Linked DNA regions of Mus musculus. The protein of the gene in region 1 purifies or fractionates together with the protein of each later gene. This does not show direct contact. Links are inferred from orthologs where the notes say so. Each region holds a gene or a part of one and is shown in the gene's direction. Other genes may lie near its edges.

Region 1 (6,055 bases):
TCAGCTGTGGCCCCTGCTCTGAGGGGGTCATGGCTCTGCTGGAGACCTGCAGCACCAATAACAACATTCCAGACCGTTGCTGGCCCCACCTCCCCGGCCACTCTGAGGCCTCCAGGGCAGTCACATGCTACACGGGGTTCATAAAGGATTCTCGGCTTGGAATTGATGGGGCCTGAAGGGGGGCTGAGTCACTCACGGCCGGAAGTCAGCAGCAGCCACAGTAAACAGAAAAACAGCAAACAGCAAGCACCCCAGTGAGGCCAACTGTGTGGCCACCCCACCCCACTCCAAAAATAAACGTCAGGAAAACATTGTAGTCCAGAGTCCAGCAATGTCAGATTTGGGGAAATTCCTGGCTACCAGGGCAGATGGCCATGGGTCAGTGACTGACTGATACGCTTTTCCCAGGAGCCTGAACATAGAATGTTGATGAGGCTGGCCCAATCCAAGCAGCTGCCTCCCTCTGGGGTTCAATCCCCAAGTCTCCAAAACAAGAAGTAGAAACCTACTTCACAGTGTGAGAGCTGACAGCAATAATGTACAAGAACTGAGATTTGGGGACAGCCGTAGGGTCCCCCTTAAGAAGTCACCAGTTTCCTTCTCTGCAAAATGGAACTAGCAAATCCTGCCTCCTGGTGGACAGTCCCTGAATAGCAGCTATCACCCATTAGTATGTGTTGTTATTATGAGGTATACAAAGAAACTATAACGTGTGACAGTTGTCAAGTGTGTCATTAGAGTGATTATCCCTATAGCAACCAAGGCCACCTCCGCCTGACTCTCAGCTTCCTCCACCCTTGGTCTAGCTCCACCTGCCTCCCAGACTGGCCTTATGACAGGTAGGGATGACAAGGCTGACAGCTGACTGGGGGGGGGGGGGCTCCTCACCACTCCTTCTGGGCATCCTGTTCAGCCACACACCCAGCTTCATGCCAAGTCCCGCCCAGCCCTGTGGCGGTTTCGGGAAAGGGGCATCCAAAAGGTGGAGCTGGGGAGGCTTCTGGGAGGCTCCTTCCATACAGCTGACCTCTGGCCCAGAGGGAAACTGGAAACTGCCTCCTTGAGACACAGTGAGGATCAAATAGGGCTGAAGGTCCTCTTCACTGCCTGACTTTGAATACAATGGGAGATGAAGTCATGGAGGTGAAACCCAAAGACTTCTGACCATGGTCCACTTAGCTTCCATTAAACACCCAGTCTGAGGTCTGGGGAGACAGGCGAGACCTTTTTCCCCTCTTTTTTAGACAGAATATCTAATCCATGCTGGCCTTGAACTCACTGAACAGCCAAGCTGACATTGAGCTTCAGATTTTCCTGGCTTCACCTCATCAGTATTGGAATTAGAAGCATGGATCTCCAAGCCCGGTTTATGTGGAACTGGGAATGGGACCGAGGCTTTCATGAGTGCTGGTTAAGCATCCGGGCAGCGCGGCTACATTTCCAGCCCACTTATGCTCACCAAAAGTTAAAAAGAAAAATCTGATCACAAAGAAGGTTGCGGAGATTTAGAGAAAAGTAAGATTTATTCCTGAAATCCAAAGTGCTCCACCCTCCAGATACTAGCTCCTCAGCCAAGTCCCGCCCTCTGTCCTGTCGCTAAGAAGTGGGGGCGTGGCTACCTTGCTCCAGTCTCTTCGAAGAGCCCCTTTTTCCTTTCTCCTGTCCTGACACCTCCTATTCTAGGCTTCTCAGAGTCGAGGTTTTGATCGGAACAGTGCAGGGTCCCCAGACTCTAAGAAACTAAGGATCATCTGCATTGATTAAACATTATACCAAAGAGCTGGAGAGATGGCCCAGAGGTTAAGAACATTGGCTGCTCTTCCAGAGGATCCCGGTTCACCCACATAGTGGCTCATAATGTCTGTAACTCTAGTTCCAGGGTTTCCGAGTGCAGAGGACACCAGGATGCATGTCTATGTCTATACATGCAGATAAAACGCCCACACGCGTAAAAAATAAAACTAAAAGGCCATCATACTATATACCATAATATGAACCATTCATGACATCTGCCATGTGCCAGAGCTAGCTCTGAGCTCTACAGATGGACGGTTCCATAGTTTTCCTTAGCTCACTGGCTGCCTGGGTGAGATGCGTGGTAATTCCACCTTCATTGAAACTTCCTGGAGCTGGCTGAAGAGGTCCTGCAGTGACCCACAAGGGCATGCCCGGGCCACTCCTTTCTCATCTGGCCTACAACATTTGGAGGAGGTCCGCAAATAGCAGAAACTCATATTCATTCATTCATTCATTCATTCATTCACCCACCCATTCATTCATAAAAATAACCTCCCACCCATGGCAGATAGTCCAGGTGCTTCCTCCTTCCCTGTCCCCAGCCTCTCTCCAAGTACTTGTCTACTCTCCCACGAGCCCTGGGTGCCCTCTGGAGGCGTAGGTCTCCGCTCACCCCTGCGGCCTCAGCGACTGCACGCAGTAGGTGCTGCAAAAGTCTTTCTTGAGTGTCTAGACAGGACGCCAGGAGACCGGACCCCAGGAGCGTCCACCCTTGGGCGGGCGCCGCACCCCCATCTTGTCCCGGGCTTCTCACCTGAGCTGGGTGTCCCCCGCCCCCCGGGCCGCCTCCTGTCCCGGCCGCCCCGCTCCCACTTCCTCCCGCCGCCCCGCCCCTTCCACATTCCTGTCCCGCCGGGCCAGCCCCGCGCCCGCCGCAGCCAGCCCGCCGCGTACCGCCTGCTGCTCCGCGCACCGCCGTCCGCCAGCCAGGGATGAACGCGTCCCAGGTTGCGGGAGAAGAGGCGCCGCAGAGCGGGCACTCGGTCAAGGTGGTCCTGGTGGGCGACGGGGGCTGCGGGAAGACGTCACTGATGATGGTCTTCGCCAAAGGGGCCTTCCCAGAGGTGAGTGCCCTCATCCTTGGCCCTGCGCTGGGGACACCCCCCATGTGCGGGTCTGCTGAGAGCTGCCTCGAAAGAACCCAGCTCTAGCCTCCTAGGGGGAAATCTCAGCAGGGCCTGGGGTCGAAGGCAGAGTTTTTCAGTTTTAGCCAGTAGAAGCAAAGTGGGACTAATAGCACTTAGGGGGAGGGGTGTCACAGGGACTGAATTGGGCCACCTAGGGAAATAGCAAATCCTACGAGAGCAGTTGTTGTCACTACTTGGCGACGAGAGTGTGAGGACTTTGGAGCTCGACTGGCAGCAGTAAAATCAAGCCTTTGCCTCTTACAGCTGTGTGCCTTTGGGCAAGTCCCTTAACCTCTCTGAAGGTTAACTACATGATAGGACTGAAAGCCCCTACCCGAGCGTAGTATAGAAAAGAGTGCTGAAAGTTAGTTGCTGAAAGTTAGTAAGTGATGTTCGTCGGGCGACATCACCTCTTCTCCATCCACTATGGTGCAAATCCCCATGCTTTACCCTAGAGAGGAAAACTGGAACACCGACCCTTCTCTGAAGAGTCTGATTATGCCATACTTCGACTCTAACCAAGCCTCAGTTTCTCAGAGCAACCTGATAGGGGGAAGAAAGCTGGGACAGTGAGGCTGAAGGCTGATGGCCGGCTCGGTGCGGTACCTGGTTGCATCCTGGCTCTCTGGGCTTGTCACTGTGAGTCCTCAAGGACCCCATGACCAGAACAGTGGCTGAGCCCTCCTTCTGTGCCTCCACGAGGAGTGGGGGTCCTGTGTGTTTGTGGGTTTGCCTTCAGCAGCAAGCCTTCTTTTCCTGTCCCCACGTCCTTCTGGCCTCTGGGATTGTGCAGAAGTGGGTAATTTGATGGAAGGAGCCAGAGAAGCTGACCTGGCAAATAGGGCACAGTCTTGCTTGCTACTCTGAATACCAGTGGTTTTTATGGTTGTTGGGTTTTTTTTTGGGGGGGGGGGTTGTATTTTTGTCGTTTTACTTTAGTGGTTCCTGTTTTGTTTTTGAGACAGGATATTACTGTGGAGGCCTTGTACGCTCAGTCCTCCTGTCTCTCGGCCCAAGGATTGCTCAGATCACGTGTATGCACCACCATACCCATCTCACAGCCTTTGGTTTTGTGGTTTGCAAAGCTGACGTCACCTTCTTTGACCAGTTACAGTTTTTTTGTTTTTAAGTATAGGAGATATTTTCCAGGTCTTTAGGTACTGCCCATGGGAACCCAACCAACGTGGGAACCAGGAGATCAGAGGAGGCACCTAAAGGTGGAGGGGGTGGGGAAGGCTCTGCAACACTGGCCTGGGGCAGGCATCCTAGACACTAGGCAGAAAAGTCCATGAACTGTTTATGGGGTTTTGTGTGTGTGTGTGTGTGTGTGTGTGTGTGTGTGTTCACAAGGTTTCTCTGTATAGTCCTGGCTGCCCTAGAACTTACTCTGTAGACCATGCTGACCTCTGCCTCATGAGTGCTGGGATTAAAGGTGTGTGCCACCACTTAAGAGGCTCATGAACCATATATGTTTTACAGGACGCACTGGAGTGAGTGGCAGAGGACCAGAGTGGTCACCAGGGGGGTGGACCAACCTTGTCCTTAGTCTTCCTTTGTCTAGGAAATCCCTGGCATGAGAGAGGGCTCTTTTAATTATGTTTTATGTTTTAGTTAGTTAGTTTTCTTTTTGAGACAAAGTCTTTGTATGTAGTCTACATTCATGTCAAATCAATGATCCTCCTGCCTCTGCTTCTATCGTGCTGTGACTTCAAGTATGAAATACCACTATTAGAAACAGGGTTTCTCTGTGTGTGTAGCCCTAGCTGTTCTGGAATTCATTCTATAGACCAGGCTGGCCTCAAACACAGAGATTTGCCTGTCTCTGCCTGGGATTACCGGTGTGTGCTGCAGCTGTCCGGCTGGTTTGTCTTGCTCGGTCTTGGGTAGGCCAGGATGACCTCAGATTCGATATGTAGCCAAAGATGCATATATATATATGATTTATTTATTTTATTTATATGGGTACATTGCAGCTGTCTTCAGATACACCAAAGAAAGCATCGGGTCCCATTACAGATAGTTGTGAGCCACCATGAGGTTGCTGGGAATTGAACTTAAGACCTTTGGAAGAGCAGTCAGTGCTCTTAACCCCTGAGCCATCTCACCAGCCCCAAGATTGCCTTCTAACCTCCTTGCCTCCACCTCCCAAGTGCAACTGCAGGCAGAGCCTTTTGAGGAGAACATGAGGGTAGCTTTGATCTGGCACTCAGGTCACCTTGCCCGCACCCCCCCACCCCACCCCCCACCTCCGCCTCTTCGCCCAGGGCACTCCATGACCTCTGAAGCCACGTCCACTGCATGGGTTCCTGTCTTCCAGGCTTTCTGCCTGCAGCAAAGGGCAGGGGAGAGAGTGGTTGGAGAAGCCTCTGATCTTCACTGGCTAACCTCCAACGTCACGTTCACGGCTGAAGGGGCAAAATAGAGCTTATGGGACAGAGAGACCTTTTTCCCCAAGGAGTCTCAGATGGCACTGAGAACAGAGCCATTCTGAATGGCTTACAAGACAGGGACAGGAGGTGGCAGAGAGCATCCACCTGCAGAACTATTCAAATCTGCAGTCCTCAGACTGCTCCAGTTTCCACAGGTGTCCTACCTGGGGAACCCTGCCCTCATTCTGTCATGGTCATCTCTCTGTGACCTCAGGAGGGCAGGACCAGGTCTGAGTCATCTCTGTCCTGGGTCAACCCAAGCCAGGCCTTGAGTCGCTTGCTGAACACAACAGATAAGATTAGGCACTTCTGCCTAGAGGGTGGGAGCAAAGAACACCACAAAAGGTATAAAGTCACATTCCAAAGTAAGAGGCAGGGCAGTGACACTGCTCAGTGACGAAGCCAACACAGCCCCTTCCAGCTAGCTCATCTCAGGTCTGGCTGATGTCGGGAGCAAGAACTGGTGACCTCAGAAGAGGCAGGTGGCTGTAGTGGCTCCTGAAGACACATACAGCGCCAGCTCGACTTCTGCCTAGCCCAGTTCCCTCAGAGCCTCTTGATGTTACTGATGTTGTGGGAGTCAAGAGTTTAGAGAGCAGTGGGCTGGGGTGTTCACAGGCATTTGTCGCCCAAGATCTTTGTTGTAGGCCCTCAACTGGTATGTCGGTGGCTACACTGGGTCTCTATCTCCACTGTGACAGT
Region 2 (6,120 bases), on another chromosome or scaffold:
GCCTCTGCTTGCCCAGTGGGCCAGTATGCTCTGCTGCATTGCCTTGCAACAATCCCCCACCTTTGTTTTCTTAAATTATAGGGTTTCTGCAAAAATCTATCTTCAGTCCCTTTGCCTGCCTAGAATGCTTTCTGTGCCTGTTTTGAAATTGGTCAATACATTAAAAAAAATATCTTCCCCAATAGTTGGAGAACTCTATGACAATAAGCTACATTTGTAGTACTTCGTTGGTCCTTCAAGGCTTTCAGCAGAACTTTAACAGCTCAAACCTTGTCTTCTGAGGGAAGGCGCTCTTGAGCTTCTGACATAGGTACTCTGGGAGTTTCCTGTTCACGTAGTTTTTGTCCCATGATGCAGTTCTTTCAGCCTGTTTCTTCCAATAGCCTAAGGGACAGACATGAGGTCAGCTTTAGCCTTCCAACTCCAAGACCCTCACTTTGACCTATACCCACATTTCTTCTACAGGAAGTACGTGTAGGTGTTGGAATACCATTCAGTATCTTTCTGTAAAACCTATTGTGTTTTTACTCTTTTTTAGGTGGAATGAAATTTAGATTCAGTTGTGTATGTGCGGAATGCGTCAAATTGAAAATACACATCTAATTTGTAGTTAAGTATGATCTTCAAGAAAGCAAAGGTATCTCGGAGCTTCTGTCCTTTGTATTGAGAGCATGAACTCCTCTGCTGCCTTCCTTGGGTAATTGGCTACTTTGGTAACGTAGACAGCCTGTCCACAGGATTAAAAAGAAACTTAATGATAAAGACAAAAGCTGAGACTTGAGCGCTTTTGAGATATCTACAATTCTTTTGCTCTATTATTCAAGTTATTTATGTCATTGCACTCACATGATGGCCAAATTTATCATACTGCATTCATTCTGATAAAAGTTTGTTTCAGCATAACTTCAAATTGAATTGGAGAAGGCCAAATGGTCTCACAGCCCAAAGTTATCTTCGTCACTAGTAGGGTTATAGACATGGTTATAGACTTGGTGTTTAAGTTTCTAATACAAGTGGCTTCCCCACCACTTGGTCTCTAATTCTGTGATGGTTTGTTGGTTTGTTGAAACCCCGCCTTTGTAAGGTTCCTTTGGAAACAATGGGAAAATCTACCTTCTGAGGATGAAATATTAGGTGCGGTGCCTTGAGAGAAGAGTATACGCTGCTCCCTGGTATTACACAAAAACATCAGTTGTCTAGAGATTTATCTTTTAAACAAAGTTTCAACACATAAAATCTTATGTACTACTCTTTGCAATAACCTTAAACCTAAACTAGCTTGGGAAATCGAAGATAGGATTCAGTCCAATAGTAAATTCTAAATAGGTGCTTTGGTTAAAAAGCTATCTATGGTAGGGGTAGGTTGGCCTTAACCAACAGCCTGCAAAGGAAGCAATGATTGTATTTTTTTGGGCCACAAGGCAATTGTGGCAAGAGGCACCCACTCTTTCCACTTTGGCCCATACAATCTGTCTAGGCAATTAATCAGAACTCCCTATGGTGGTTTTCTTATACTTTGCCAGTTGCCTTGCTAATTAAACCTGCCCACAGAATGAAGCAAGAGCACATCCCCTGAGGGCCTTCTGCCTAGGGAGGGTAGGGGTGACCAACACTAGTGAAAGCTGATACTTGTGGCCTAGCCAGTAAAATGCTCACAAGAATCCTCCTCACTCAGTTTCCCTATCTCTAAAATGGGTTCTCTCTCTCTCTCTCTCTCTCTCTCTCTCTCTCTCTCTCTCTCTCTCTCTCTCTCTCTCTCTCTTTTTACCCGTCTAGACTAGTTCCCTTCCTTTTGGTGCTAGACAACTAGGAAGTGAAATCAGTGCTTAACCACAGTAGAATGTCCTCTGGTAGGCTCCAGTCTTAGCCCAGGCGGCTCAGCTCCACGAGTAGGAAGCGGCTTTCGGAGCCCGCCCGGGCGACCGACAGCGGGCACTTTGATGAATCACGTGTGTCGAGGCCGTCTTAAAGAGATAGGCACCTACTTTTCCTCCACCCTAAACGCCGCCCCGAGGGCGGAGGCGACCGCGGTGATTGCAGCTGCTTAGGGGCAGGGCTTGCCCCAGCGCTGAGTGGTGGCACCGGCGTGGTTTGCGTCGGGGTTGCCTGGGCTTGGGGAGACCCGGTGGCCTGGGAGCGGCGCTTGGCGGGCAACCCTCTCTGTCCGTGGACGCGGGACATTCTTAGCGCTCCGAGGGGTGTTTGCCCTTGAGGAGACTTGGGGTTTCTGGGCGGCAGGTGACAGGGCCAGAGAAAGATGGAGGAGCTCGGGGCGGCGGCGTCGGGAGCCGGAGGCGGCGGCGGTGGCGGCGAGGAACACGGCGGGGGCCGGAGCAACAAGCGAGGCGCGGGGAACCGGGCCGCCAACGAAGAGGAGACGAGAAACAAACCCAAACTGGTAAGTCTTCCCGCAAGCCCCGCTGGTCTCGGAGACCCGAGATCCCCGGATCGTCCTGCCCAGGAACACGCCTGGGAGCCGGCCCTCCCCTCCCGGCAGCAGCCGTGATCTCGCCGCACAACTCAGGGAACGGAGACGGCGTGGGGGCGGAAGAGCACCCCTTCTCCACTTTATCCGGCCTTCTCTCTCGGGTCAGCTTGCGGAGGAGAAAGGCCCCACCCCAACTTGGGGACACCCTGCGTCGCGTCCTAGAGTACTGGGGTAGGGCTGTTTGTCTAACTTGTGGGCGCGAACCTTCTTTGCGGGATTCCATTTCCCTCCCACCTCTTGTCAGTTGCTGTTTGGTCCCTTAACACTTGGGGTCCCGGGCAGGGGAGCCTCCCTCCTCTCCGTTTCGAGCGCATCGGAGCCCACTCATAGCTAAGGAAATCAAGACAAGCACCACATAGGTTCCTAGCTCCTTCGACTTTGCCAGAAATCGGAGAAAGAGGCGCCTGCGTGCGTTTGTTCCCCCCACCCCCCATGTGCTCACCCAAGAAACATTTCTTTGGAAGTCTGGGACTTGGGGGGAGCGTGGGAGGAGTTGGAGGCTGGGTAACCCCGCCAACCCCCCCCCCCCCCCTGCATCCCAGCACAGCATTTCCACTTGGTTGAGAATGCTCAGAAGCAGTTATGTTCCCCATACTTGTCTCACAGTCCTGACAGTGTGGTCCAGTAGTAGCTCATTTCCTGCTGAGGCCAGAAATCGATGGGGCCTGGTATTGGGTTGGGAAATACTGGGGTTTCTTCAACTCATCAGTTAAAAGGGTTCCTCTTTTGGTAAACTTTCTAATTTCAGTGGCATGAGGAGAAAGGAGTTTCCTGCAGAGATTCAGCAGGCAAACTTTTGAGCCTCTCCTGAGCCTTTTGAACAGTAGAATCCTACTCCACATCCCAAGTACAAGTCCATGTCGCTCGTCTACATTTCAGTTGTAAACAACAACTTGATTATAGTAGAAGAGAGGGTGAGACTGTGACATGCAACTCAAACCATTTCCTGTGGCATCTGGCCACTTGGTCTGGACTTGCACTTCTCTTCTGGCTCCGGTTTACTTTCCTATTATGGACCGTCCATACGGGAAAACAGGGCTCAAATATTAGGACATATGAAATCTTCCATTATGTGCGAACGGACTTGGGCTAAAGTAATCTTTCAACTTTAAAATCTCATCAAAACCTGAGACAAATCTAGAAATCACTTCCCTAATGTGTCCTATTACCCCAAGCACTTACAAATAAAGAAACTGAGTCACAGTTCTTTTGACTTGTCTGCAATATTTATCACAGTGATGAGGGCTCACACCATCCTGGATTCAAGAAAAACAGTTCTGAGTTTATTGTTCGAGTTGAATGTATTTCAATTTGTTTCTTTTCTTTTTGAGATAGGGTATCTCTATGAAGTCCTGGCTGTTCAGGACCATGCTATGTAGACCAGGCTGACCTTGAACTCACAAAGAGCCTCCTCCGTGGGTCTCCTGAGTGCACGAGTCACTGCCTCAGCCAAGCAGTCAAAAGTTTTGATAATGTGACTTTGAAATGTACTAGTTTGTGGTAAGAGAGTGAGCCTACTTCTGTTTTCCCTCTCCCCTTACTTAGCCCAGTATAAACTGTAGTAAAAAGTTTAAAAATAAAAGTTAAGGAATAGTTTCCATAAATAGTTTTATACATTTAGCAAGAATCTCCCAATTTTCAATATAGTAAAGGAAAAGCATTTATCTCTAGTAGTAATAACATTTACTCTTTGGCTATTCGTCCTATTTCATCTTTTATGTTTTAGTTGATTTGACAAGGTAACTAGGTGATTATGAGATAGTATCACTTTCAGTTCCTAGCTAACTAACTTCACTGTTCTGTAGTTATCCCAGCTTGATACAACAAATCAAGTACTGGAACCCAGAGCGCAATACCAACATGAGTTTCTTTTTTTCTACTCATCTATAACTTTTGAGCTTTATGTGATTTCCTGAAGCCAATGTGTCACAGCTAATAAAAACAGGAATTGAATATGACTCATTTTAATGCAAAGAGTTTGATCAAATAACAAGTTTTGGTAAACTTGGGATTCTTAAAGTTTTGAAAGTATGATAAGACCTTTTAGAAGATTTATTTATTTATTTATTTATTTATTTATTTATTTATTTATTTGATGTATGTGAGTACACTGTCACTGTCTTCAGACACACCAGAAGGTGGCATTGTATCCCATTACAGATGATTGTGACCCACCATATGGTTGCTGGGAATTGAACTCAGGACCTCTGGAAGAGCAGTCTCTTAACCACTGAGCCATCTCTCCAGCCCCCTTAGACTAAATTTTAAAAATATTAATGCTATGTATTATGCTTCACTGTGATAATTCCAAATTTTGAATGTGTGTAAAGGAGTTGTATGTGATTATAAAACAGCCTTATGGCAATATAAGTTATTTGTCTGGGTTATTGTATTATTAGGGGCTCAAAACTCCTTAAATAAAAAAAAGGGGTATATGTTTATTTTTCTGGCTTTTCTTCCTTTTGTTAGTTTCTTAGAAGTATCCATGACTTGCAGAAAGAAAAAAGAATCATTGCAGTTCAAAAGACAGCAAAGGAAAAGACAGCTGGAGAATTGAGGGAAACTCCTTAAAACAATTAGTTCAATCACTGTAGTCTAAGGGTTTCTTAAACTATAAGACTGGTGCAACTGTGTTCATTTATTTGCTTATGGATTTGGAAAAATGGGGATTGAGGTTGTATTTTTGTAGGTAAAATTTTTGTAGGCTAGTTATAGTCCCGCATTTTTGATGCCTAACAGTGAAAACTTTTTTCAGATTGACCTATCAGAACTTTAATGATTTCTGTTTAAGGTTGTGTGAGTCTAAGTGTAATAAAACTCACTTCAGTTTTTCAGATATGTATCCTCATAATGAAACCCCCACATCTCCACCCACCCACCCATCCACCCATCCATCCATCCATCCATCCATCCATCCATCCATCCATCCATCCATCCATTAAGGGAAGCAGTTCATTCATTGACTCAGTACATTTTGAATAATATATGGTAGTAGAGTTTCTGATTTTATATAACTTTCTGGTTAGGCCCAGACTGTAGCATGCTATTAAACAGCATGACTCTTATATTAATTAGTAATTTGATGCCAACCGTGTATTATAATTTGTTAAACTGAATAGGAGATAAAGTGCCCTAGAGAAGTGTTAGGAAGATGCTCTGTCTTAAAGCTCATATGCTTAAAGGAATGATTTAACCATTAAGAGAGTCCAGTGTTAGAACTAGAGAGATAGTTCAGCTGATAAAGTGCTTTCATGCAAACTTGAGGATCTGAGTTTGATGCCAGCAATCTGGTATAGAGTCTATGCTGGTTGCACACATTTATAATCACAGGGATGTAGGTAGGAAAAGACAGGCAGATCCCTGGGGAGATACAGGCCAACCAGCCTAATTTAACCAAAGGGGTCCCCGATTCCTTTGAAAGTGATAAAAAAAAAAAGAAGAAACTCCTTTTTGATGAATGACCCCAAGATTGACTTCTGGCTTCTATAAATATAATGCATATTACATGAGTACATACACACACTATAATGTATATATTACATGCAAACACCCCCTCCCGCCACACACACACACACACACACACACACACGCACGCACGAGTGCAATAGACAAGTGAGGCTACACAAGAGAAC
Region 3 (5,454 bases), on another chromosome or scaffold:
GGGAGGAGCAAGATCTTCATCAAGTTTTGGGACCCTTTCCACAGGTCGAGGGCATGGAGTACGTGTTCTACAACGACACCAAGGTCGTCTTCTTGTCTCCTGCTGTCCCCGAAGAGCCCGAGGCTTACAACCTCACCGTGCTGATACGGATGGACGGTCACTGTGCCCCGCTCAGGACCGAAGCCGGAGTCTTTGAGTATGTGGCAGACCCCACCTTTGAGAACTTCACGGGTGGCGTCAAAAAGCAGGTCAACAAGCTCATCCACGCCCGGGTAAGAAGACCCCTACGGCTGGCATGGGGTCCCGGGTCGGGCGGGGCAGGGGCTCACGCTGATCACGCTGATCATTCCTCCGTCACCCATCCCCCCTCCAGGGAACCAATCTGAACAAAGCCATGACTCTGGAGGAGGCAGAGGCATTTGTGGGTGCTGAGCGTTGCATTATGAAGACGCTGACCGAGACGGACCTGTACTGCGAGCCCCCAGAGGTGCAGCCTCCACCCAAGCGGCGGCAGAAGCGAGACACGGCACACAACCTACCTGAGTTCATTGTGCGTGAGAGCGGGAGGGCTGTGGAGGGCCTGGGGAGCCTCTCAGGAGAAGCCGCCGCCGCCCACACCTGCCTGCGCTGAGCCCTAGCTTCCACACAGGTGAAGTTTGGCTCCCGAGAGTGGGTGCTAGGCCGAGTGGAGTACGACACGCGTGCGAGTGACGTGCCGCTCAGTCTCATCCTGCCTCTGGTCATGGTACCCATGGTGTTTATCATCGTGGTCTCCATCTACTGCTACTGGTGAGTCCTGCCCCCGGTAAGGCTCCCCTCATCCCTCCCGCATCAGCATCAGCGCTTCTGACCGTCATAGCTGACTGATACCAGAGAGCCGTTCAATGCCCCACAGGAGGAAGAGCCAGCAGGCCGAGCGCGAGTACGAGAAGATCAAATCCCAGCTCGAGGGCTTGGAGGAGAGCGTGCGTGACCGCTGCAAGAAGGAATTCACAGGTGGGGCTGTCCCCCTCCCCCGGCAGGTGGAGCCACAGAGTATCCCTGGATCTTCTAGGCCACCCCTTAGGGCCAGAAACTGCAGGAGGGCCCGGGTTAAGAGCAGCAGGAGTAGGTGGCCAGGGGTCGCCTCACCCAGGCTTGCATCCCCTTCTCAGACCTGATGATCGAGATGGAGGACCAGACGAATGACGTGCATGAGGCAGGCATCCCCACGCTGGACTACAAGACCTACACCGACCGCGTATTCTTCCTGCCATCCAAGGATGGTGACAAGGATGTGATGATCACCGGCAAGCTAGACATCCCTGAGTCACGGCGGCCCATTGTGGAGCAAGCCCTCTACCAGTTCTCCAACCTGCTTAATAGCAAGTCCTTCCTCATCAATGTGAGCAGAGGGGGCTCAGGGGCGGGGAGGGGGATACAGAGGAGGGGGGCAGAAAGATAAGGTTAAGGTAAGGGGTGGGGCAAGGTTGCAGCCCAGGTGCTCAAGTGTGCACTCCCTGGCTGCCCCGCAGTTCATCCACACCCTGGAGAATCAGCGTGAGTTCTCAGCTCGGGCCAAGGTCTACTTTGCATCACTGCTGACTGTGGCCCTGCACGGGAAGCTGGAGTACTACACGGACATCATGCGCACGCTCTTCCTGGAGCTCATGGAGCAGTATGTGGTGGCCAAGAACCCCAAGCTAATGCTGCGCAGGTTCGTGGGAATGGCGGGTGGGGGTGGGGGTGGGGGGGATGCTACCTAACCATTCAGGATGGCACGCCCACTCACAAGGGCCATAGCACCCTTTGCGCACATGTGCATTGCCGTGGGCTCCTGGAGCCAGCCGGGCCTTGGAGAATGAGGCATCTGTTTACCCTCAGGTCTGAGACAGTGGTGGAGAGGATGCTGTCCAACTGGATGTCCATCTGTCTGTACCAGTACCTCAAGGTGAGCCCAGACCCTAGAGCTAGGGGTGGGTGAATCGGTGGCATCCCTCCCGAAGCTTGCCTAAGTGCCTTGAAGGAGGTCCAGCCCCGTGCCTCCCACTCACACAGCCCCCTCGCTCCAGGATAGTGCAGGGGAGCCTCTCTACAAGCTCTTCAAGGCCATCAAACACCAGGTGGAAAAGGGGCCCGTGGATGCTGTGCAGAAGAAGGCCAAGTACACCCTCAATGACACAGGCCTGCTCGGGGACGATGTTGAGTATGCGCCTCTGGTAAGTCCCCCAGAGCCAGAGGCTGCAGAGAGGAAGGCAGAGCCAGGAACCTGGACTCCACATCTGAACTTCGCAGAGCGAAGCCAAACTGTCCTGGGAAGGGTTTCTGCGATGCTGAGGTACGGTCACGAGGGTCCTCCTCAGCTGGCCCTTCCCATCCTGTGTTCCCTCGCAGACCGTGAGCGTGATTGTTCAGGATGAAGGGATCGATGCCATCCCGGTTAAGGTCCTCAACTGTGACACCATCTCTCAGGTCAAAGAGAAGATCATCGACCAAGTGTACCGTACTCAGCCCTGCTCCTGCTGGCCCAAGCCAGACAGTGTGGTGCTTGGTGAGTTCCACTTGTTCGTGAGGCCCCGTGTGCCCAGCTCTGCCTGGGAATGAGCAGAGCATGGCCCCGGGTTCCAGAAACTGAGCTATGCCCTTCTGCAGAATGGCGTCCTGGGTCCACGGCCCAGATTCTGTCTGACTTGGACCTTACCTCCCAGCGGGAGGGCCGGTGGAAGCGCATCAACACCCTGATGCACTACAACGTGAGTGCCGAGGTCCCTTAAGCAGGGGGAGGTACCCTAAGCAAGGGGGATAGTGCTGAACTCCCCAGTGGGAACATAACCCTCCCTCATGACTCTGTCCTCAGGTCCGGGATGGAGCCACCCTCATCCTGTCTAAGGTGGGAGTCTCCCAGCAGCCAGAAGACAGCCAACAGGACTTGCCAGGGGAGCGTAAGTCTATGCTGTCTTTCTTATCTTGTTCTTCTAGTCCCTAAAGGTCTGTGGAGACCTCCCCTCCCTCTGCTGCCCCCTAGTGGACCCCAAGACCCTGCATACCAAACTTCAGGCCACACCCAACCTGAACTGGGACTAGGTCCCTCAGCTGCCTGCTCCTCACCCCCACCCCCACAGGCCATGCCCTTCTGGAAGAGGAAAACCGCGTGTGGCACTTGGTGCGGCCAACAGATGAGGTAGATGAAGGCAAGTCCAAGCGCGGCAGCATGAAGGAGAAAGAGCGGACTAAGGCCATCACAGAGATCTACCTGACGCGGCTACTCTCCGTCAAGGTAATAAATAGATAACACTCAGTCGCAGGAACGCATCCCTTTACGCTATTGCCTCCAGTGTGTCCCGGGGGGGGGGGGGTCACATCAAGCCGCTGTCCTCCATAGGGCACACTGCAGCAGTTTGTGGACAACTTCTTCCAAAGCGTGCTGGCGCCTGGGCATGCGGTGCCACCCGCCGTCAAGTACTTCTTCGATTTCTTGGACGAGCAGGCAGAGAAGCATGACATCCGAGATGAGGATACCATCCATATCTGGAAAACCAACAGGTGAGGCTTCTGCCTGCCCTGCCTCCGCCCTGTCTGCCCCAAGGCCACAGCCCAGCACCCCCCCCTCAACTCCCTTGACCGTCTCCCCGCTGCAGTTTACCACTTCGGTTCTGGGTGAACATCCTGAAGAACCCTCATTTCATCTTTGATGTCCACGTCCACGAAGTGGTGGACGCCTCCCTGTCAGTCATCGCACAGACCTTCATGGACGCCTGTACTCGCACGGAGCACAAGCTGAGCCGAGTGAGTAAGCCTCTGTGCTCATAGGCGACAGTGGCCCCTGGACAGGACCGACCGTCCAGGAAGGGGTGGAGCCTCGATAGTGCTCTGTGACAACTGAGTAGTCAAGGCTAGCCCAGTGTCAAAAGCTTTTGTCTTCCGCAGGACTCTCCCAGCAACAAGCTGTTGTATGCTAAGGAGATCTCTACCTACAAGAAGATGGTGGAGGAGTGAGTGATGTGGAGGAGGGGCTGGGGAATCCCTAAGAGACCCCAGGGTCCAGCAACCCCCTCTTTCCCATGCACTCACCTCCTCCTGTCTCCATCCACACCCCTCTCCCTCTGCAGCTACTACAAGGGCATCAGACAGATGGTGCAGGTCAGCGACCAGGACATGAATACGCACTTGGCAGAGATTTCCCGGGTAAGGGCCACAGAGCTCAAGAGCAAGGGCGCATGTGCTATTGCCCACTGCTGAGCCAGGCACGGGAGTACAGATGCTACAGCAAGAGGGGTGGAGGGTAGCTGAATGGGCGTGGCAAGTGGGACAGGCAAGCTGCCTTGACCATAACTGAGTCTTGAGGAGATAGCAAACATACCTGTATGTAGAGGCTGATATGTAGCCACTGAGGTGCTTAGAACCCTGGTGCCCGCCATACTGGCTGCTGTTAAGCACACGCTGCCACGTGCGTGGGCTTGGCCTGTGGCCTTTCCAGGATGTGGTCCTCTTACTGATGTATCTGTCATGGTGCCGCACGGCCAACACATTGCAGCTTGCTGTTCTGTGGGGCTGGCCTTGGGGCTCCTATACTCTCCTCACACTGCGTAATACTGTCATTCCTAGGCTCACACAGACTCCCTGAACACACTCGTGGCCCTACACCAGCTCTACCAATACACACAGAAGTACTATGATGAGGTATGCTCCAGGTCCCTGTGGCGGGATGCAGGACAGCGTGCCCGCATGTACCCCCCATGATCTGACATGGTTTCCTCTGTGTCCATCTCTACCTCACCCCCAACCCCACCAGATCATCAATGCTCTGGAGGAGGACCCTGCAGCCCAAAAGATGCAACTGGCCTTCCGCCTACAGCAGATTGCTGCTGCGCTTGAGAATAAGGTTACAGACCTCTGACCGTCAATGCCGCCTCAGGATGCAGGTGTGTGGTACCATGGCCTTGGGCAGCCCGTTGGCCTGAGATGGCACTGGCTGTAGCCGGGCTCTTCTCTCTCTCCAGTAGAGGATGCACCCAAGGCATCTGGAGTGGGTGTGGTGAACCCACCTCTTGTAGACTGTAGCGTCTTTCTCCTGAGCAATACTGCCCGGGCGCCCGAGTCAGCACCAGCTCCTTCCAATGGCACCAGCATCGGGTGTTCTCTGTGTTGTCTCCTGAGCAATTCGCAAATGTGCCTTACAAAGCCACACTGGGCCACTGGGGGCGGTGGAGGCATGGCCTCCCCTTCCCACGCACCAGCAGCCCAGCCGCCTCAGATGCCCTGGGTTTGGCCTGTAGCTCCCACAGCCGGTTCCTGGACTGTAACTGTCTGCCAGACGGAAGGAGAAGAAAAAGCGGTACAATGCCTTCCTGACCTCACCTGGCCCTCCTCGTGGGGCGCAGGCACTCCAGGTGGGCTTGAGGGTCATCACTGGCTCCACCTCTAAGGTCAAGCTGGACGTCAGACGTCAGGGCCCAGGTGGCCGCCAGAGGGACC
Region 4 (6,099 bases), on another chromosome or scaffold:
GTAATTCCAGGACAGGATCAGTTGTTTAAAAATAAAAGGAAAAAATATAGAAACCTTTCTGGCTTGGGATATAAATCTAGCTAGAGAGAATGAATGCTTTTCATGGTTTCGGAGACTGAGCTGTGTAAAAAGAATTGAATACAGACATATACAATGAGTGTGTGAAAGTTGGTGTGTGTGTGTGTGTGTGTGTGAGAATAGGAGTTCCTTTGTGCCATTGTGGAAGTGTTTACGAGTCTACTGATTTCAGGTCTACAGGTCTACAGATAGCATTTCTGATGCCAAAGAGCCATCTTGTTTCCCTTGGTTACAGGTGCAATAGTGTGCAGGGATCAGTTTAAATTCATCACTACTTAAACAGAAAACCAAGTCTTCTATTATCTATTATCTACATTTAAAGTTGGTTGATAGTTCTCTCTCTCTCTCTCTCTCTCTCTCTCTCACATACAAATTCCGTTTGTAGTCTATTTTGCATGCTGTCCTTTATACGTGGAGGTATGTGACACACCCCGTAATACTGTTATAGAGAAGGGATTTTTTTTTCCTTTGAGCAAGAGTTTATTCCTTTTTATTGCAGAGAACTAAGAGAGCTTGCAGAGAGGGCATTTCTTCTATAAAATTATTTCTCTGAGTGCCTTAACAGCATGCTTTCATCTCTAAGGACAAACCTTGCCTGATAGAGAGGCTCCGAGTTCAGTTTATTGACTCAGTAAAATCCAAGCTCACTGATTATGTTTCCACCTAAAAGCTTTCCACAGTTATAAGATTGGGGGAACATTTAGAACCATGTGAGGTTGGGTTTCTTTCTGAATATTTTCCCACAGCCAATTGAACAATACATTAAGCCTACCCATTAGTTGGAGCATCACCGCTTGTACCCTTGTTCTGATGGCCAAAGGAACAATTGTGTTGTCTAGGTTCCACTTCAGATATTTGAAATAGAATAGATCAGAAGAGCAACAAAGTTATATCCTGCTTCTGTGGAGACAAACGGTTCTGCTCTGTACAGAATAGGCTTGTCAAAAGACGATCAGAATCCAACAGCAACCTCCTCTTTCACACACACAAAAAAAAAAAAAACCCAAAAATCAAACAAACAAACAAACAAACAAACAAAAAAACCCATCATTTTCCCTCTCCTCTGAGATGCTCCTCTAGTTCCAAGAACGTATTTCACTTGAGCCTTAGTGTTTGAAGCAGAAAAGGGAAGATAAGTAGTGATGTGATATTCCACCAGCAATTAGGTGAAGAGTAGTTGGAAATTTTAATTGTCAGTCTTCATTTCCTGAGAAGCAAAATCTTAATTTTGCTGGTGGAAGAGGGCGTGTGAGCTGATCACAGCAGTGCCATTGAGAGTGGAATGAATACAGCCCCCCCCACCCCCAAACACACACACACACACTTGGACATTTGTTCCCTCTATTTAAGTTTCTCACCTTTGGTGTTATTGAATGAGATCATGAAACCGAAAACTTTTATGTATTAAAACCAAAATCTTCCAGAAGGGTCAGAATTTCACTTCACACCCTTTGCTAACACTTGAATACACATAAAAGTGTCTGAAGATCGGGGGCAATCCTTGAAGGGTACTGTTTGCTTAAAGGTCTTAAAATTTTTATATTTTTGAAAGGAAATGTGCGGGGAACAAGGGTGGAGGGAGTGTTGTGGATTTTAAAATTTTATATATGAGTAATTAACTAAAACTTTGAGATATGCATGTTATCTTCGGAGGAGCTGAGAGCCACCAGAGCGGGAAGTCCCTAAAGGGATGAACAAAAGCATGGCTGTTCGATAGTTTTATCTCCACAGCAGCAGGCTTTCAGACGCAGGATTGTGGTGACTGTCTCTGTCTTCTATTACACAGCATTTTCATTAGTGACAGCCGCCGGTTTTTCTCAGGTTAGCCAACTAAGTTGTCCCCAGCTTTCTTCTTGACCACTCGACTCGGTCTTGGTTTAAAAGGGAAAAAAGGAAAGAGAGGAGGAAGGTGAACTAACCCAAAGTGTGGTTCAAGGAGATTCCTTTTTTTCCGCGGCTGGCGTTGTTTGATCCTTGGGGATGTGAGGAAATACTGATTCAGTATTCAACCCAGAACCCCTGGAGTCCTATGAATTAGTGGTTTTGAGCAGGGAAGGAAGAGAAAGGCTTTTATGGACCCTTCCCAGATGGGGGCAGGAGAGCCCAACCGAACAGAAGTGCCTGGCGGGTGTGCGCGAGTTCAGGACGCCCCTTGGTCCTGCAGCCTACCCGCTGGCAGGATCAGAGGTCAAGTCAAAGGGCACGGCCGCTGGGTGCCTCGCCCTCTTCCCCAAACATTATGCCCCTAGGCTTCTGACTGACCACCACTGGTTCTGCTAAACTGGAGGGCGGGGAGGGGGCGGGTCTGGGGGGCGGGGAGGGGGCTGGCACAGAGGGACAGAGATGCACCTCGGTAAATGTAGTTCCTGAGCGTGAGGATGGAGAGACTGTTTCGGCTCTGTCTGTAGGACTAGGACTACAACATCCAGAATCCTAAAGGCGAGTCAAAGCGTCCATGCGCAGTGGGTGCCACCTTGTGTCCTATCAGAGGAGACGAGGGTGATGTCACCTGCGAGTTGGTAACCTACGAGCGGCTGTGAAGGGAACTGTTTAACCGGATCCCATTGTACCGGGAGCGCAGAGCGGCCTTTCCAGCATGCAGCGGCTGCTCAGGTGAGGGGACTCCTCGGCTCGCCCGCCGCACTCATTCATTAGCGGCACCGCACCGTGGCGCGGGGTGGGCGTGCTGGTTCTTCGCGCTGTCGCGGCGCGCCCTCCTGCTGCTTCCCGGAGCTCCGGGGCCAGTAGGTAAATATTAAACTCGTCCTTCAGGTTGGGTTTGGGTGGGAACAGGACCGAGACAGCTACGAGCTGCCAATCTAGGCTTTGGAAAATGGCTGCAGCACGGCTCGGAGCGAGGCGAGCCTGAAGGAAGGCATCCCCGAGGATGGGGTCCCTCCCTTCTTTCTTTCCGAGGCGCTCGGTGGCCGTGGAGCCGGCCGGGTACATCTCTCTTCTTCCCGGCCACAGGCTCCCCGGGGCCAGGGCTGAGGGAGCTGCGGCAGCGGGCGGCGCTCCTGGGCCGCTGGCTCTGTAAGATCCGTGGGCATGGCCGTGACCGCGATTCCCCTACCATTCCTATCACCTTCGGGTCAAGTCATACTCAAAACGGAGGGGCTGACTAATCCAGGCAGTCTCCGAGTTTACTGTGTGCAGAGAGAAGAAGGAAACCTGGCATTGCGGAGGCCGCGAGCCGGCGGCTAGCTGCGGCGCGGGGAGGCTGCGTCTCCGGGGGACTGGATGGGGTTCCCCGCGTCCTGCTTCGAGGGGCGTATCGCAGTCTTGGCTCTGCCAAATGGAGCCCTGCAAAGGGCACCTGGGCGTGGGCTAAACGCTCTCCTTAGAACCATGGTGGTGATGGGGTGGTGGATAACCTAATGATAAGGTTCGCTGTGGGGGCAGGAGGGCTGGATAATCGGGTTTATCTAACTGGTGCCCAAACCAGCTGTTTGGGATTGGCTTGTCTTCTGACTAGAGAGGAGAGCAGGGCGAGGCGAGGCCGGGCCCGACCCGACCGGACCCGGCCCGGCTGGACAACTCGAAAGTCTTCTGGCTTTTCTTTTCCCTTTTTGCGTCAGCTCCATTCGTTCATTTACTCACATTCATCAAACCCTTCTACGGTCCTTTGCACGTTGCTTACAATCAAGGTTTGGGACGTTCTGTCCCCTCCCCATAAAATGTTTTACTGTGCTCAGAAATAGATTCCTCCTCTCAGTCTCTCTCCTCCACCGTCAATGTTGGGAGAGCATCCAGAGCAAATGCTGCCCGTGACCGTTTTGCCCCCATTGAATTGGTAGTTTCTTGAGATTTGAGCCGGACCTAGTGAATTGAAGCATAGTTTGCCTGCAAGACGAATCCGGTTGCCATGGCGACTTCTGCCTTTGGAATCTTAACAGCTCGCACTGCTGTTTCAATTCGTTGTGGCTCTGCGGGCAGCTGGGAGGGTGTGGTCGGGGGGGTGTGGTCAAATGTTTGCCCTGGGCCCAGCTGCTCCCTCTTCCTCACCCTCCTAGCAGCTCTGGGACTCCCCCATATTCTTTCCTACATAGCTTGGACACCATATTTTTGGACCTGTCCCCTCCCATGTGCCTATACATCATCTCAAAGCGAATTGTCTGGGGCTTTTGTTCTAAGGTAAACTAAATTTGGAAGATGTTTTTCCTCCAACGAGTGAACTGTATCTTTCCATCATTATCATAGTTAATAGTGCTGGAGGCAATTTACTTAACAAGGTCACTCTTCCCAGGCCTACACAGCTCCCTGGTCAGCAATTACCTGAAGTACCATTACCTGTAAATGACAGAGCAATTAATAATTGAAGTTGAGGTATGGAGAACAGAGACATTGCAATTTTTATGAAATCTAAACTCCAGCTGAAGATCCTTAAAGTGGAACTCTGGAGGCTGAAAACAGGAGCCCTAGGTCCTGTGCCAGCATTTTATGTGATGTCCTGCTGTGGGCTAACAGTTACCTCTGGGAGCACCTGTCATCTCATTGATAATGTAGACAGGGGAGTTCAGAGAATTCCTAACGTTGGTTTTAGGTTTAAAGTTTTGAGACTTGGAAAATGACTCCTCCTCCAAATAACACAAGGCTTAAATTCAGCTCTGACATTGTAGCATTCAACTTGTGTTGCTGGCCCCCAAACCAAGATCCTTGGGGTAACTGTTACATAAATGGACAGGACAGCTATAGTAGTATTTTAAAATTTATAATACACTTGATACTCCTATTATCCCAGCATCTGGACTTTTATGTTTTAGTCATAATTAGTTGCTTAGATTTTATGGTTTGCAGATTCACAATGAATGTAGTTTATTTGTAACTTAACTGAACAAAAGGCATTTAAATTATACTAAGATGTTTGTTTTTCATCTCCTGTTTGCATTCTCTTCCAAGTGTGGTATCTCTCAGAAATGGGGGATGGTGTGCATAGGAGTGTCTATGCAAGTGCATTCATGTGCAGGTTAATACTTGGTTGTTGTGCCAAGTGGATAATGCTCACCGTCTTAAGCTTAGTTACATCACTGTGAGGCAGCACTAGCACAAGTTAGCACTCTCTTGTTTATGTATTTATTTTTGTTCTCGGATTTATAATGACAGCAAAATGTCCTTCGTTTATTAGCTTGCTTGTCAATGCTTCTTGGTGCTAAGCTTTTTGAAGGCAAGGTCTTTGTCTTCTTAACCATTTCAGAATTTGGAACAGGTCTTTTAATAAGCATGTGTTAAATGGGTATTAAGGAGGATCAGAAATCCAAGGTTTGTATTTTTTCTCCTGACAGTTATGTAATTTGTTGTAATAATCCCCCCTTTTTTGATTAGTACCTACACCTTGCTACAGTTCTTTCCATGAATATAAAAATGATATATATATAGTTATTTTATAACTAATTTTGGAACTAATTCACCTACATAGGTTATTGTTTTTCTTGTTATAATTTCTTAGTACACTTAAAGAGATACTTTTATTAGTAGTACTTTCCTTGGCCTAGATAATTTTCCCAGAAGGCAGATGGCAGGAAACTAAGGAGAAAGACAAAGGCAAAGATAGCCGCTTTTGTCAAGCCACCAGTGGCTCCTAGAGTTGCTGGGAGACCGCAGTCTGTCATCTGGGGCAGAGCGATTCTATAAACAGGATCTGCCGGTCCAGGCCAAGTCTAGGAGAGGACATTAGTGTGGTGTTGGTAAAGCTGGTATGCGGTGGTCACGTCCTGTGGGTCTGGAAAACTGGAACCATCTTGAGAGAGGTGATAGAGAAGGGTCACGTCCTTGAGTGGAACTGGAATCCTGGCTTTCTCCTCTTGGTGGATAGTTCTGAGTGTTGAGAGTGTGCTTGTGGATAGAGCTACTTTGTTTAAAACACTGCTCCTAGTGTTAGTCATTGGCCTCCTAGAACAAATAAGGTGCTTAAAAACAAAACCCAGTTAAGACTAAAACCGTTTCATTTTGTAAATATTTAGAGTATGGTTTTGGCTTGAGGATCTCAGGTTCTTCTGTGAAAACATTTCAAAGTTGCAGCTG

Evidence for each region.
Region 2: the proteins of Rhod (region 1) and Diaph2 purify together in Homo sapiens (co-immunoprecipitation; 3 studies listed by BioGRID and IntAct, with this or other methods). This does not show direct contact. The link is inferred for Mus musculus from reciprocal best matches to the Homo sapiens genes RHOD and DIAPH2.
Region 3: the proteins of Rhod (region 1) and Plxnb2 purify together in Homo sapiens (affinity purification with mass spectrometry; 3 studies listed by BioGRID and IntAct, counting the BioPlex papers as one, with this or other methods). This does not show direct contact. The link is inferred for Mus musculus from reciprocal best matches to the Homo sapiens genes RHOD and PLXNB2.
Region 4: the proteins of Rhod (region 1) and Daam1 purify together in Homo sapiens (affinity purification with mass spectrometry; 3 studies listed by BioGRID and IntAct, counting the BioPlex papers as one, with this or other methods). This does not show direct contact. The link is inferred for Mus musculus from reciprocal best matches to the Homo sapiens genes RHOD and DAAM1.

What each region holds. Positions count from the first base shown.
Region 1 is NC_000085.6:4,436,026-4,442,080, reverse strand, and holds the start of Rhod (rho-related GTP-binding protein RhoD), read left to right. Parts: upstream 1-2,637; 5' UTR 2,638-2,729; coding exon 2,730-2,861; intron 2,862-6,055. UniProt on the Homo sapiens protein: Involved in endosome dynamics. May coordinate membrane transport with the function of the cytoskeleton. Involved in the internalization and trafficking of activated tyrosine kinase receptors such as PDGFRB.
Region 2 is NC_000086.7:129,747,719-129,753,838, forward strand, and holds the start of Diaph2 (protein diaphanous homolog 2), read left to right. Parts: upstream 1-2,023; 5' UTR 2,024-2,257; coding exon 2,258-2,398; intron 2,399-6,120. UniProt on the Homo sapiens protein: Could be involved in oogenesis. Involved in the regulation of endosome dynamics.
Region 3 is NC_000081.6:89,155,703-89,161,156, reverse strand, and holds part of Plxnb2 (plexin-B2 precursor), read left to right. Parts: intron 1-44; coding exon 45-272; intron 273-373; coding exon 374-550; intron 551-649; coding exon 650-789; intron 790-895; coding exon 896-996; intron 997-1,154; coding exon 1,155-1,384; intron 1,385-1,514; coding exon 1,515-1,696; intron 1,697-1,863; coding exon 1,864-1,930; intron 1,931-2,051; coding exon 2,052-2,198; intron 2,199-2,373; coding exon 2,374-2,530; intron 2,531-2,631; coding exon 2,632-2,732; intron 2,733-2,836; coding exon 2,837-2,921; intron 2,922-3,101; coding exon 3,102-3,256; intron 3,257-3,361; coding exon 3,362-3,522; intron 3,523-3,617; coding exon 3,618-3,765; intron 3,766-3,906; coding exon 3,907-3,971; intron 3,972-4,088; coding exon 4,089-4,164; intron 4,165-4,584; coding exon 4,585-4,659; intron 4,660-4,771; coding exon 4,772-4,876; 3' UTR 4,877-5,454.
Region 4 is NC_000078.6:71,828,506-71,834,604, forward strand, and holds the start of Daam1 (disheveled-associated activator of morphogenesis 1), read left to right. Parts: upstream 1-2,562; 5' UTR 2,563-2,826; intron 2,827-6,099. UniProt on the Homo sapiens protein: Binds to disheveled (Dvl) and Rho, and mediates Wnt-induced Dvl-Rho complex formation. May play a role as a scaffolding protein to recruit Rho-GDP and Rho-GEF, thereby enhancing Rho-GTP formation. Can direct nucleation and elongation of new actin filaments.